Linked DNA regions of Coturnix japonica. The protein of the gene in region 1 interacts with the protein of each later gene in a biochemical or structural test. Links are inferred from orthologs where the notes say so. Each region holds a gene or a part of one and is shown in the gene's direction. Other genes may lie near its edges.

Region 1 (7,787 bases):
AAACAAAGCCGTCAGGCTTATTTTTATCATCATGATGTATACTTTTTTTTCTGGGCACCGTAATAACATTTGTATTCTCTTGCGTGACTTCCAAGATTCATTTTCCATCAATAGTTGTGAAATCAGTGGCCAACTGCACAAAGCAACCAAGTGACAGAAACAATTTTCAATGATCCACTGCTGCATCAATCCTGTGATTTATGCCTTTGCTGGAGAAAAGTTAGGAAGTATCTTCGTAGCTTTTTCCGAAAGCAGATTGCATCCCACTTCTCTAAATACTGTCCGGTTTTCTATGCCGACACACCCGAACGGGCTAGTTCCACCTACACACAGTCTACTGGAGAGCAAGAAGTTTCTGCTGCGCTGTAAGCTGTGCCTTACAAAACAAAGCAAAACAAAGAGACAACAACTGGAATTGACTTTTCTGAATCTCAAGTCTAGACAAAGAGCCTGGGAAATCTCTTTCTGGATTGCTTGTACGTGCATCTGGCGAAAGGTCACTCGGCGCAACGATGTACACACGCAAAAGCTGTTTTATTTTTGTGACATCAAGATGTAATGGATGTATCAAATTAGCTATGCAGATATGGGAACATAGGATTCTGTGGCCAAAAAAAATGGGGAAAAAAAAGCTTTTTTTGTGTGTGTATGTGTATGTAGAAGCATAGTTATGTGCTATGGAGACCACAAACATACCTAAGCTGAGAGGTCCCTAACCTATGCGGAATTTCACAAACTGATCTTTTAGTGAACTGGAGATTAGAAAATGGTATCGCTCTTTGGAAACATCTCTTCAGCGTATTTTACACAAGATATTTCATTCATTTAAACTCCATCTCAGTCCCATCTTTTATTAGCCTGGTTGTGTGTAACTCTGTAAGTAACAGTAATTACTGAGGTTTGTGTGATGAAAAACTTATACAATTGTCAGGGGAAAACTATGAAATTGTTGAAAGTAACTGCCAGTATTCAAGGTATATTTTCCTGTGTGTATGTGAAAGGACTACCAGCCTTTCAGATCTTACTTCTAATAATCTAACACAGTCTGAGCTACTAAGTGTTGCCATCTCAGTTAATCAAGGGCTTGATATTTCAGAATGCTCTTTTAATAAACTGTGGTTTTATATACTACTTGTATTAACAACAATACAATGGTCAATCATTGATCAGTAAAATCAATGTGTTTAGAATATTTTAAAAATAAAGTACTATAGACAGAACTTTAACCAGGTTAGATCAAGAGCAGATAATCACAAAATCACAGAATCACATAATGTCCCAGGTTGGAAGGGACCTCAAGGACTCAAATGAAGTTCCAACCTCCCTGACCTGGCAGGGCGCACCAAACTTCCGATGTCTACTAGAATCAGGTCTGCCCAGCGGCCCGCATCTAACCTGGCCATTGAACAACCTCTTAGTGGAACGGAAGGCATCCACAACCTACTCTGGGTAGCCTGTCTAGGACCTCACTACTCTCCTTATACAAGAACTCTTCCCTACACATCCAGCCTAAATCTTCCCTTTCAAATTAAAACCATTTCCCCTGTCCTGCTGTCAATAGGGCTCCTTTGGGCTTCTTAGTGCAGTGATTTTGTTTGCCATTTTTCTAGTCTATGTAAAATAACAACTTTAAAATGTGTAACTAATGCAACTGTAATGGCTGCAAAAACACCACAGCATTAAAGGTGTGAAAATGTTTGACCCAGATCTTTTTGAAGATAAGAATACGCTATAGACATTTTTCACAACAAACACACACACAGAGTAAAAGGACTCATCCACAGAGCCAAAAACATATAGCATGTCTCTTGCTTCTGAAGAAGGCATAATTTGGGGGCAATTACTGTGGTTTTTTTTCTTCCTGCTTTGTGGGAGTTTTATTCAAAGCAAAAGCTTCCATAATTCTTCCATATTTAGCAAGGCTGATGCTCAACTATAACTGGGCTTTCCCTTAAAGTTCAGATCTTTCAGAGAGCCTGAACACAGAAAGCGTGAAATAAAGGGGGTACTCAGGTAATTAAGTTCATACTTTTGTCACAATACACATTGTTTTAGATCATGTTTGTATAGCACTCTTATATCATTTCCTAATACTTTTGGTTTTGGACAACTCTGGAGATAGGAATATAAAAGTGAATATTTTAATGGCTGTTTTTATCCAGTTGGGTAACATCTGTTTCCCAGGTGCTCTGGAAAGCCTGTCTTTAAAATAAGTTTTACAAATAAATAGTTCAAAGAGTCTCAAAGAATGTTACGTTGGCCAAGTGCTTTTGGAAAGCCAGGAAGTGAAATAGGGAAATATTTGCTTATCAGGCACTGGTTATTGTGGTTTTGTCACATTAAGCACTACTTTTGGACTACTTCCACATGGGGAACATAAAGCCATACTACACTTTCAGAAGTTGGTTTTTTTTTAAGACACATGCAGCAATTACTACCACCACTATAAGCAGAAATTGGGTAATTTCGGTATAGAAAGACAAACATTTGCATTCCTTTTTTAAAGAGACAGGAAGCTACATGCAGTAACAGCAGTAACTTTCTCCTTGAAGAATTACTTTGCACGAGCAAAGAGCAAGAAAACAAATGTGCAAGTGTGCACTGACAAGGTTTTCTGAGAGGTATGTAACAAGAAGAGCCCCAATTCTTTGCAGCGTTGTCTCCTACAACATGGATCTTTTCAAGGGACAAGCAGTTTCCCTAGCACAGAGCTGAAATTAAGAGATCTTGACCTAACAGACCAGCAGCTTATCAAGAAGTTAGTCACTTTATAGAGTCACTGAATGGTTGTGGGCTGGTAAGGGACCTTTTCAGCATACAATCTGTTCCAACCCCTAAGCAATTAGGCAGGGACACCAGTGCCCTGCAGTGGCCAAGAAGGAGGCTGCCTGTCCCTTAATGTACCTCCTATTCAACAGACACGCATTTTCACAGATCACAGACTGACCTGAGTCTGGGAAGGGAACCTCATAAAGGATCATGTAGTTCCCAACCCCCGTGCCCTGGCAGGGCCACAATACATACCATTTGATCTAGATCAGGTTGCCAGGCCCCCGTCCAACCTGGATCTGAACACCCCAAGGACGGGGCATCCACAACCTCCCTGGGCAGCCTGTTACAGGGCCTAACCACTCTCCTAGTGAAGAACTTCCCCCTAACATCCAACCTAAATCTTCCCTCTTTTAACTTACAACCATTTCCCTGTGTCCTGCTATTGTCAGCCCTTTTGAAGAGTTTACTCCCCTAAATTTTGATGGAGATTTCATTTGTTTTTGTGCATTACTAGAGATGGGAAGACTGCTATTTCTCAGGTTGTCCGTTAACTCACTCAGATCCTACGAAGTTAAGTTTTTATTACGTTTAACATCTGCCCCCATAGCGGGAAGCCGACTTCTGAGCAAACCCTCAACCTGCTCAGTTCTTAGGTGACGGGTGCCATCTCGTGGCCAAACGGTAACGCTTCCAGCTGCCATTCGCAAGCAATACTTCCTGTCGCCGCCCTTACAGGCAGTACGGAAACAAAAATAAGCCTTAACTAAAGAGCGGACGCCAATTGAGACTCATGACAGGGAAGGAGGAGCGTGAGGGGGCATCCGCCTGCCAACTATTACTCTCCACACAGCTCCACGCCCCCTGGCCTCCGCGTATGCGCAGTGCGAGTCGGCGTTTTCCCGCCTGCCGTGGTGGGGGTGGGTGCTGTGTGGGGTGTCAGGGAGCGTGGTTGGGGCAGTGTCCCACCGGCAGCACCGAGTACATAGCGGTGTTAGGGTTGGCGAGAGAGTGGGAGCTTTGCATTGTGAGTTTAGGGTGGTGGCTGAGCTTCAGTGTAAGGAGAGGCTCCGTAGGGACTCCCCCGCTTGGTGGGGGCTTCCCGGTGGGCTCGGTGTGGGGGATCTCACCGGGGTTTGCTTCTCAGTTAAAGGATGAAGGGCAGCAAGGAGCTGTTCTTGGTGAAATTCGTAAAGTCTTCTGGGAGCTCGGAGTATTTCTTGAAAGCTTTGGAGGTAGGTGCGAGCTGTGGGCCTGCTGGGTGTAACACTGAGGTGATCTCTGTGGTAGATGCAGCCTGCGTGTGTACATCTAAGAATAAAGCTGCATTTCCTTAACATAAGTATTCCACAGTAATTATATTGACCAAGGTGAACAAGTAACTCTGTCAAAACTTGCTGATATTGAACAAAATGCCAGGTAGGCCCGGAAGGTCCATGTGGTGGTTGCTTATCTGCCTTAATACTTAATAGGAAGAATATGGAGCTTTTCCCCACCTGGAGAGGTTTGGGGGAGCTGAAGGCACTGTATGACACGTTCAGTTTGTATGTAGTGTTTAAGTCTAAATACTGAGTGAAGCTGGGAGGTGACGGGGGCTCTTTAGATACCTTAGCTCTGTTGTGGGCTGTTTCAAATAGATGTGCTTGTGTAACATCCACAGTATTAACTATTTGTGGTTTATCAGTTAAGTAAATGTGGTTGTATGCATTGTTTTCCTGCAGTCTATAAAAGAATTTCAGTCAGAAGAACATCTCCACATTCTTGAAGAAGGAGCAGTGCTTGATATAAAAGAAAATGATAAATCCCTTTACATTTGTGATCCTTTTACTGGTGTTGCTTTCAATCATCTTAAAAAGGTATGCTACACATCAACTTATACCAGCTATACTCTTTTTTTTTCTAGAAGCTCTTATGGATGTTCTCAGACTCCTTTGTTTTTCTTCTTGCATTAAGTATAGTAGTATGCAGTATTCACAATGAAATCTTTAGAGCTTTGCTGCACTCTGTGTTTAGTGGTGAAGACAGCTAGTAAAGTGTAAGGATTATCATGAAGTAAGTGGAATGTATAGGATGTACTGTTTTTACCAAGGGTTCCTCAGGGACAAAGAAAACCTTCCTTGCTCCAGTGTACCTTCTGCTCATTCTCTTTCTTTTGTTTGTTTTCCATGTTATTTAATTGCAGCTCGGTTGTAGAATTGTTGGACCACAGGTAGTCCTGTACTGCATGCAGTCCCAGAGATGTGTCCCAAGAGCTGAGCATCCCGTGTATAACATGACCATGGCTGATGTAACGATATCCTGTACCACCTTAGATAAAGATGTCCGGGTAATGTATTGTACACAGTGGATGGTTGAGCAGGTGTTTCTGTGGCATGTGCTTCATTTATTGCTATGGCATCAGTTGTAGTATTTCACAGAATCACAGAATTGTAGGGGTTGGAAGGGACCTCTAGATCATTGAGTCCAACCCCCCTGCCAAAGCAGGTTCCCTACACCAAGTAGCAAGTGTAACTGTGCATAGTCTTTGTATGGTTTGTAGGGTAGTCATCATTTATGTAAAGAATTGTATAGAGAGAAAGGAAGCATTTTTATAATGTGTGATATACAAGCACGTATGTAGTGATGTATCTATATGTGCACATTTGCCTATATCATATAAGCATATGTAACACTGTAATGTCATTAACATTTGAGGATTTATTTATTGGCTAATGGATGTATGTGTTGGTCAGCTATCATGCTGAAGACAACATGTTACATTTCTGGCTTTTCAGTCTATGGTAAACATTAATTATCCAGCCAGCTGTGCTTTACGTGAGTTATGCTAAGGTTTTCTTTTGGTACACTCCAACAACTTATGTATGCTACCTGAAAGAACAGCCATCAATAAATCTTATTACTGATGGTAATATCATCTTTACTTAAGGTTATGTTTTTGTTTGCCATCCATGCAAATAAAATGGAATTGATATTTTTTATTAGTTTTCAGAAGAAACCACTGAAAATTGAAACTGATTTATTTTTGAGTGTGATGTAAGCTCCTAATTTATCTTTTCTTCTTTTGGTGATTTTTTTTTGTAATTTCTCTACTCAGGAGGAAGTTCATGAATATGTACAGATGATGGGTGGACGTGTGTACAGAGACCTCAATATGTCAGTAACTCATCTCATAGCAGGAGAAGTTGGCAGCAAGAAATACTTAGTAGCTGCTTCTCTGAAAAAACCTATTTTGCTTCCTTCTTGGGTTAAGGCACTGTGGGATAAATCTCAGCAAAGGTAATGAAAACAGAAACAAAGTAAAACTTAGTTTGTGTTGGGCTCTAGTGTTGGGCTCTTCTGGTTATACACGCTTCTTTCTTTTTCTAATTGATTTTACTGAGACAAAAATGCATATTTTTTCCCCCCTTTCGTTCTTTTAGCATGATGAGATACACTGATGTCAACATGGAAGATTATGCTTGTCCTGTGTTTCTTGGCTGTACAATTTGTGTAACTGGCTTAAGTAGTTCAGACAGGAAAGAAGTCCAGCGCCTCACGGCTGAACATGGTGGGCGCTATTCAGGGCAACTCAAGATGAATGAATGTACTCACCTCATAGTTCAAGAGCCAAAAGGTAAAACTTGCAGCATGCATTATTTTTCCTCCTTGACTTGAAGTAGTGTTGCTCTTGCTGCTTCTGTGTAGAGAAGTGGTGTTGATGGGAGGAGTGGCATGGGGCACTCTTACCTTGCTTTGAAGGTAGAAGAAAGAAAGGTGAACAAGAGAAGACAGAGACTTGAAGAAGAGCAGAAGAAAAAGGGAGAATTGTAGAGGGAGAGGATGAATGAAGAAAAACTATGTTTTGGGGAGAGTATGATAAGACTTCATTTATATGCTGCTTGGAATCTGATAGTGAATTAATGATTTTTAAAATTTTTTTAACTGACCAATCCTTTATACCTTCTGAACTCCCTGTAAGATGAAAGCTTTCTTCCCTTGTGGAAGGGGGAAAGGTTTGTACTTTCTTTGAATGAAGAAAGAAGTTTCATATTTTTTAAGCTGGTACAATGAAATTTCTGTGATGAGACAGATAAGTCTGATTTTTGAATGTGCTGGTACCGGCTCTGTATTACAGTTTATTCAGTTGATAGAGCGAGATAAAACTGACTACTTCTTGTAGGAGGAATTTATCAAAAGTGTATGTCAAGATGACATACTGTTAGCAACACTGTTAGTGCTGGGAACCCTTGATTAAAGATCTGCAGAGGACTTCTTCATGCTTTACTGCTTTATAAGGTTTTGGTGCCCTGTGATGCAGTACCCATGAACTCACTGTCAAGGAGATTTTACTCTGACTTTAAATAAAGGCAAGTAAATAGCAGCTCATTAGATGAGTTCTGTATAGTCCAACTTGCACCTCAAAATCAGTTATTTGAGCTTTCAGATTTTAATGTCTTTGAGTAACATACATTTTTTACATTTTATTTACCCTTGAAAGGTCAGAAGTACGAATGTGCCAGAAAATGGAATGTCCACTGTGTGCCTGTGCAGTGGTTTTCAGACAGCATTGAGAAGGGCTTCTGTCAAGATGAGACAATGTATAGAATAGAAACTGGATCAAAACTAAGTTGTACACCCAGTACCTCAACACCCACCAACAATGCCAGCAAGCTTGACAGTAAGTAAGACCTTTTAAGATGCACTTCAGGTAAGGTATTTGGAAGAGTAAGAAGGAGGAACTGTTTGAAATTAGTAGAGTGCTCTCTATTTTTGTAGTGATCATATTTTGAAATTTGGTTTGTGTTTTGCTTATGCAAAAAACTGCCACTGATCACTTTCAGGTATGTTAGGTATTGCAATGAATATGGACTTGAATATGAATAGAAGTTTAATAGTTAATCTAATTTAGGTGTACTTATCTGCTTAAGAATCACTGGTTTGTATTGTTAAGTCCTAAAAGTACAGGGCTAGTGTCTGTTGTGAATTAAATCATACCCCTGGAGGGAAAACAAATACTGTTTTTCATGTATTTGTCTTTG
Region 2 (6,087 bases), on another chromosome or scaffold:
GTGCGGTAACGACTAGTGAGAGCCATGGGAAGCTTTGAGAGCAACGTCTCAAAAGGAAAAGGAGAAAAATCACAAAACAGAGACCGGACAACAATGAAAACCAAAAGTCCAAAGCACTTTGAGCAAGTCTTTATTATTCTACTCGGCCAACTAGAAAGAAGATAGACAAATCCCCCAACCCCTGTCAGAACATTGGGGCGTGATGAAACGCGGCTCCAAATGAACACGTGCCTTGAAAAAGGTAAAAAATACTTGAGTGATTTGTGCCCTGCAGCCAAACTGGAATGACCCTGAGAAAAGTCTGTGCAGACAAGTCAGTGGAGATCGATGTGCAGCTCCTGGCTTCTGTGTTAATCCCCTTTGTGTTATTGCTTGCAAATGGAGTTTGGTTTTGTTGTTTTATTTCAAAAACAAAGTGTTCATCTGGACTACAAATCCACCATGAGTCGCTACAACGTGGCTTTTTATTACAAATACCAGAATCGCCTCGAAAATAGAAATGTGTAAAACAATCAGCCGTCTGTACAGTGCATTTACAGTACATGGTCCAGAGGAACACGCGGATCCAAGACCCGCTTTAGCCCTTGGCCACACAGCATTGGCAGTACGATACAACCCGAATGCCACAGGGTGAAACTACCATTAACTACTCGTTAAAAAAAACACCAATCGAGAGACCTCGGTTACAATGGAGTTTATCACACAACTGGGATACGTACAATAGCTGTACAAGAAACAGCAGCTTCTAACTAGAAACAGTCATCATGTTGTAACTCTCGGACGGGCTGGACCGGCCAGTTCTCCACTTCTTACAGCTGTTCCTGCTCTCCAGGGGTTTACTCGCCTTGGCCCCGGGCTGTGGATTCTCATAGAGGACGCAGATGGAGCCGTCCTCTCCTATCCGATACGACACCTCGAAAGGGTCGACCCAAAGAGTCAATTCGTTGGGCAAGAGCTGGAACAGTCTCTCGTGGCTCAGTCCGATGGTCGCCGCCGCTTTGCCGATCAGCGGGTCCATCTGGTGGTTGATCCTAATGCACCGATACCCGGAGCCTTTGGTGGGCGCCGTGGGGAACCAGTGGTGCCTGTAGTGTTCTACGGGAGGGAACAAAGAGCGGCGTTAGTGTCAGCGTTACAGCCCGTCCGTGCGCCGCGGGCTCGGGCCGGGCCGTGTCCCCCCGCTCACCGCGCAGCGCCTCCTGCAGGCGCTCCCTGAAGCACCGCAGCTGCTCGTCACCGATCCCGCCGGCGGCCCGCAGGAGCCGGGTGACGAACGCCGCGGCCGTCGAGATCTCGGTTCTCATGGCCGCTCGGCTGCCGCTCGTCGCCGTTCCGGCCCGGCCCGCCGCTACCGCACCGCACCGCTCCGCCCGGGACAACGCTCCGGCCAATGGCGGCGTCGCGCAGCGACACGTCACAATGACGCGTCCCGCCCCGCGCCCCCCTGCGACGGCAGAACAGGATCCCCATTGGTCGAGATGGGCGAGGGGCGGGGCTTACGGGACACCGCGAGCGGCCATTGGGCGGCGCAGGAGACGGGCCGTGTTTGTTTTGCTGCTGAGCGGCGCGGTGACACGGAGTAACGGGACGGGGTGTGTAACCATGGTGACAGCTTGGGGCCTTGAGCGGCCGCCCGACTGCTGCTGCTATTGGGAACCGGAATCACACCAACACTATCCAGGCTCCGAGCTGTCCCCGTCAGGGCTGTGCGTCCATGTTAGTGCGGCGTTACGGGAGCTCACAGCTGGGGAACGTCACGGAGCAGCGGCAACAAGTGACGTAGTATTTCCGTATATCGAGTATTGCCGCACGGCATGGCGCGGTGTGACGTCACTACGTCAGCGTGGCGTCACTACGTCGGTGTGACGTCACTCATCCCACCGCCCTGCCCATCCAATCAGCGAGCTGCTCACAGCGCGTCACGCGGCGACCAATGGCGGCGGCGCTTGACCCTCGGGGGCCGCCTTAGGTGCGGTCTGCCATTGGCCGGGCAGGAGGAGCTCTCGCCGCTGATTGGCCACGGTTCGTCGCGCGGGTTCCCGTCCGTCGCGCGGCGTAGCGGTGCTGCCGCCATGTCGTTGCAGCTGCCGTTCGTTCCGCGGAAGCGCAGCGGTACCGACATGTGCGGGCCGGGCCGGGCGGCGGGACCCGCTGCGGACAGTGCGCTGCGGAACGGGATCCCGCCCAGCAAACGGCACAAGGGGCCGCCGGGGAGCGGGGCGGAGGAAGATCCTTTCGGGGACAACGACGACTTCACGGCGGACGATCTGGAGGAGATCGACACCATCGCTTCCCAGGCGCTGTGTGAGCCGCTGTGTCCGGGTGTCACCGCGCCGGGCCCGGCCCCGCACAGCGCTCAGCTCACAGCGCCCTTCCAGCTGCAGGTGCTGCGGGCACAGCACGACGATACACGGAGGAAGGTCAGAGCACATGGGAATATAAGGGGGGATCGGCCGCGGTGCTGGGCCGGGAGGGTCGGGATCCGCGCTGGGAAAGGCTCTGAGTGGGAACGGCACAATGAGTTTGCGGGGTGTGGTGCCACCATTGCCCAGCAGCGGGTGCTCATCTGTCGGCTTTCATCTGTCCTGTCAAACCCGGAGCAGCGCTGTGTCCTTCATGGTTTGAAAGAAGAGCATTTAAGGGGATGGGGTCACTGAGCCTTGTGGAAAGGCACCGCTTAGACCACACCATCATCACCTTAAAGGCCCTTTAAGGCCTTTACTTTAAGGCCCTCCAACCTTCTGCAGTGTGCAGGGACATCACAGCTCTATCGGTGCTCACAGCCCGCTGGGTGTCTGCAGGGATGAGGCACCACCACCTCTCTGGGTAACCTGTGCCAGTGCCTAACCACCATCACTGCAATAACTTTATGTCCATTCTAAATCCCCCCTCCTGTAGCTGGAAACCATCTCCCTCAAAAAAGGGATGGAAGCAGTGCAGAAAAGCCCACCGTCAGACACCAAAACACTGTAATTCTATTAGAGAATGTCACGGAGCCTGATTTAATAAGGAAAAGAAATAGAAGCCAGACTGTGGGATATCTAAACTGAGCTGTAGCAACACACTCCATCTTTGACCACATAGAGAGCAATACAGATACTAAATGCTGAATGTGCTGCTTAATGGAATTCATCTCTTTGCAGCTGAAAGAAATGCAGGATGAAATTCTTACTAAAAATGGAGAAATCAAAGTTCTGCGTGACTGGATGCAGCAGATGGAGCGTGAGATGGAGGAGCAGAAGAGGTCGTACGTGCTGTTGGAACAGCAGCAATCTCAGGCCCTTGGTGAAAAAGAAAGAGAGTTCTCCAAAAAGGTTTGTAGCTCAGTCAGTCACCTCAACACAACACACAGAAAGAAGCCTGCAACCTTGAGATCTTACAGACATTTGCTTTGCAGTTGGATTAACACTTGCCTATTCTGTAACAGTAAAACCATCTCCTTAATTCTTCCAGTTACTGTCACTGCAGTCAGAGTTGCAGTTCAAAGATGCAGAAATGAATGAATTAAGAACGCGACTTCAGAACTGTGAAAGAAATAAGCACGTCACTCAGACGGTTGTGCCACAAAGGTGTGTATGGGGGTTTGGGGAAATAACCTGTGTTTCTTTTTGTTCACACTTGAATTAGGACAGATGTTTCCTGTCTCTGTGTGACTCTTAGGTCCATTTCCTTGAGAAAATACAACCAAAACCATTCTTTTGACCTAAACAGATGCTGGGACAGAAATGCAGGGGATGTAGAGTGAAGTACCTCTTTAACATCAGTACCAAGAAAGCTATTAAATAGATCTGTAATAAAATAGAAATAGATCTTTAATAAAATGCTCCCAAAACAGACATTGGTTCATTGGAGCTGGAGGGGAATTTGTTGGTATCTTGTTGTTTTCGTTTATTTTTTGTAGCCCTAAAAAGAACGTTGCAATCCAGATGAAATCAGAAGGGTGTCCTCCGCAGCCTGGAAAAAGGTCTTTTCCTACAAAAGAGTCTTTCAATGCTGAAACTGCTGCCAGACCCTCTTCTTCTTCTTCAGGAAACTGGTTTGCACAGACAGTTTCCAGCAAGGAAGGTAAACATGAACACAACTTGCAGTATTTTTAGCTGCTTGTGAACATTCTGCCTTAGATTCAGGTTTTGGCCCAGTGTGACCCAGCAGTTCCAGTAAGGTCAGGGCAGGAACAAGGGTGGTTCTTTCGGTATGACATTGCTTACATTCCATACAGCTCCACCTCAGGTTTGCAGGAGGATGGCTTTGCAGTGAGCTGAATGCCAGGGGAGCAGGGTGGAGGTGTCTGCTGGCTTTGGTGAGAAACTTTCATTTATATGAGCTGCAGGATCCGAACTGTTCTCTGTGTTTCTCACTCAAGAAGGAACAGGAAATAATTTGCTTATTTCTTGAATAGGTCTACCAGTCAGCTAATGCGTTTTTTATACTCCTGAGGTTTGGGTTTTGATAACCGTTCTCTGTTTTTGGTATTTTATTTTAAATGGTGCATGTTCAGCCATGTTAAACGAGCAGCTGCAGGGCTTCACTCGTTTCCTCCTTTCTGCGTTGAACGGTAAATCTCATACAACTGTACCTTCAAATTCATTGAGTAAAGCCTGGGAAACATATGTATGCATTTACTGTAATACGAAATAAAAACTGCTTTTTATAGCAGCCAATTACTGTGTTGAGACAGTACATTGCCAGTAGGAAAGAATGGGAGAAATTGGGAGGAGGTGTCCCTGCCTGTAGCAGAGGGTTGGAACTAGATGATCTTAAAGGTCTTCCAACCCAAACCAATGGAACATCTGAGGTGTTTCTGTCGGCTGCAGTATTCTATCAGAAACTGTCTGGGCCACGTGTAACAGCAACCTTAGAAGAGTTCCTGTAGTTACTTTTTCAACTCAATAGTGTTTGACACTGCGTCTGTGTTTGTACCTCACAACAGCTATGGCTAATTGAAGGTGTGTAGATGACAGGTGCAGATGTATAAGCAATTATTTCTCGTATTTGAAACATATTCTCTCTTTGTTTTAGACAGTAAGATGCCCCATCCTGAGTTCTTAGCCATGAAGCAAGAAGCAATGGGAAAAAATGGTTCCTGCAATTCTGTACGCCAACAAAACATTCAAGGTAATGTATTTCTGGTAATACAGAAATGGATCAAGATGTAGATCGAGAGGCATCTTTCTACCAGGCTTGGCTGTATTAAGATACTGTGCTGTCTGTTGTGAGGAGAGCAGGGAAAATGTCTATTTATTGTTTCTAAAAGTGAAAAGAGCACATCAGCACTTAGTGTTCAACACGTTATTTCCAGTTCAGAATTGTATCACATGATTTTAATGTCCAGACTGGAACATGGATGTCAAGGCACCAGGATGACTGTGTTTTAATAATCACTTGGATTGAGATGGCTTGCTTATAAAGGGACTGTAGTTGAGATCTCTCTAAATATACCTTGATTCACATTTAAATTGTGTTCTGTGAGGTTTTACGAAGCGATGCATTTCAGATATTATTTTCTTCCTGTATTCTGTCTCGTAAGAGAAAGGAAAATTGATGATGGGGAAAAAATGATTTTTGAGGTTGAGATCACTATTGGTGAGGTAAATCTATTGAAATACTTTGCTGTTGTTGCAGGGGATGGAAAAGCCACTTCAAAGACAATCTCTCCAGGTTCTGCCTTACTGAGCGCCCTGCTGAAGCAGCCCCTTGTCTCTGGGTCCCTGCTGGGACTTTGCCATCTTCTCAGCAGCAACGCTGAGGCTCTGCCAGGAGCTGTGCTGCAGCCCGACCTTGTGGAGACGTAAGGACTGTGTTGAAATGCAACTGATGTGTTCCCAGTATTGTGGCATACTCTGAGAAAGGCGTTCTGTGCAGGACACCTCACTGCGTGTGTTCAGTGCCTTTTGGCTGAGGCCATTTGAGGCAAAACTCGGAACATCCTTCTGCATTTTGGTCATCCATCTTTGGTTATTGTAGGTACTGAACACAGGAGAAACACTAAAATGGAAAGCAGGTTAATTACGTATTAGGGGAAGGCACAGAAATTAGGAAAACTTAGAAGTGACTATGAACTGCTGCCCTTTTTAAGGATATATTTGT

What was found. The genes of interacting proteins can lie anywhere in the genome.
Region 2: the proteins of TOPBP1 (region 1) and ATRIP form a complex in vitro, tested with the Homo sapiens proteins (2 studies listed by BioGRID). The link is inferred for Coturnix japonica from reciprocal best matches to the Homo sapiens genes TOPBP1 and ATRIP.

Annotation. Positions count from the first base shown.
Region 1 is NC_029517.1:39,236,399-39,244,185, reverse strand, and holds the start of TOPBP1 (DNA topoisomerase 2-binding protein 1), read left to right. Parts: upstream 1-3,471; 5' UTR 3,472-3,510; intron 3,511-3,531; exon of another isoform or gene 3,532-3,916; 5' UTR 3,917-3,923; coding exon 3,924-4,004; intron 4,005-4,490; coding exon 4,491-4,625; intron 4,626-4,951; coding exon 4,952-5,095; intron 5,096-5,863; coding exon 5,864-6,045; intron 6,046-6,188; coding exon 6,189-6,382; intron 6,383-7,246; coding exon 7,247-7,426; intron 7,427-7,787. UniProt on the Homo sapiens protein: Scaffold protein that acts as a key protein-protein adapter in DNA replication and DNA repair. Composed of multiple BRCT domains, which specifically recognize and bind phosphorylated proteins, bringing proteins together into functional combinations.
Region 2 is NC_029527.1:2,066,442-2,072,528, reverse strand, and holds the start of ATRIP (ATR-interacting protein), read left to right. Parts: upstream 1-1,411; 5' UTR 1,412-1,814; coding exon 1,815-2,420; intron 2,421-3,143; coding exon 3,144-3,314; intron 3,315-3,453; coding exon 3,454-3,569; intron 3,570-3,901; coding exon 3,902-4,065; intron 4,066-5,019; coding exon 5,020-5,115; intron 5,116-5,622; coding exon 5,623-5,788; intron 5,789-6,087. Other genes in the region: protein BTG1-like, read right to left, coding at 746-1,095, 1,187-1,304. UniProt on the Homo sapiens protein: Required for checkpoint signaling after DNA damage. Required for ATR expression, possibly by stabilizing the protein.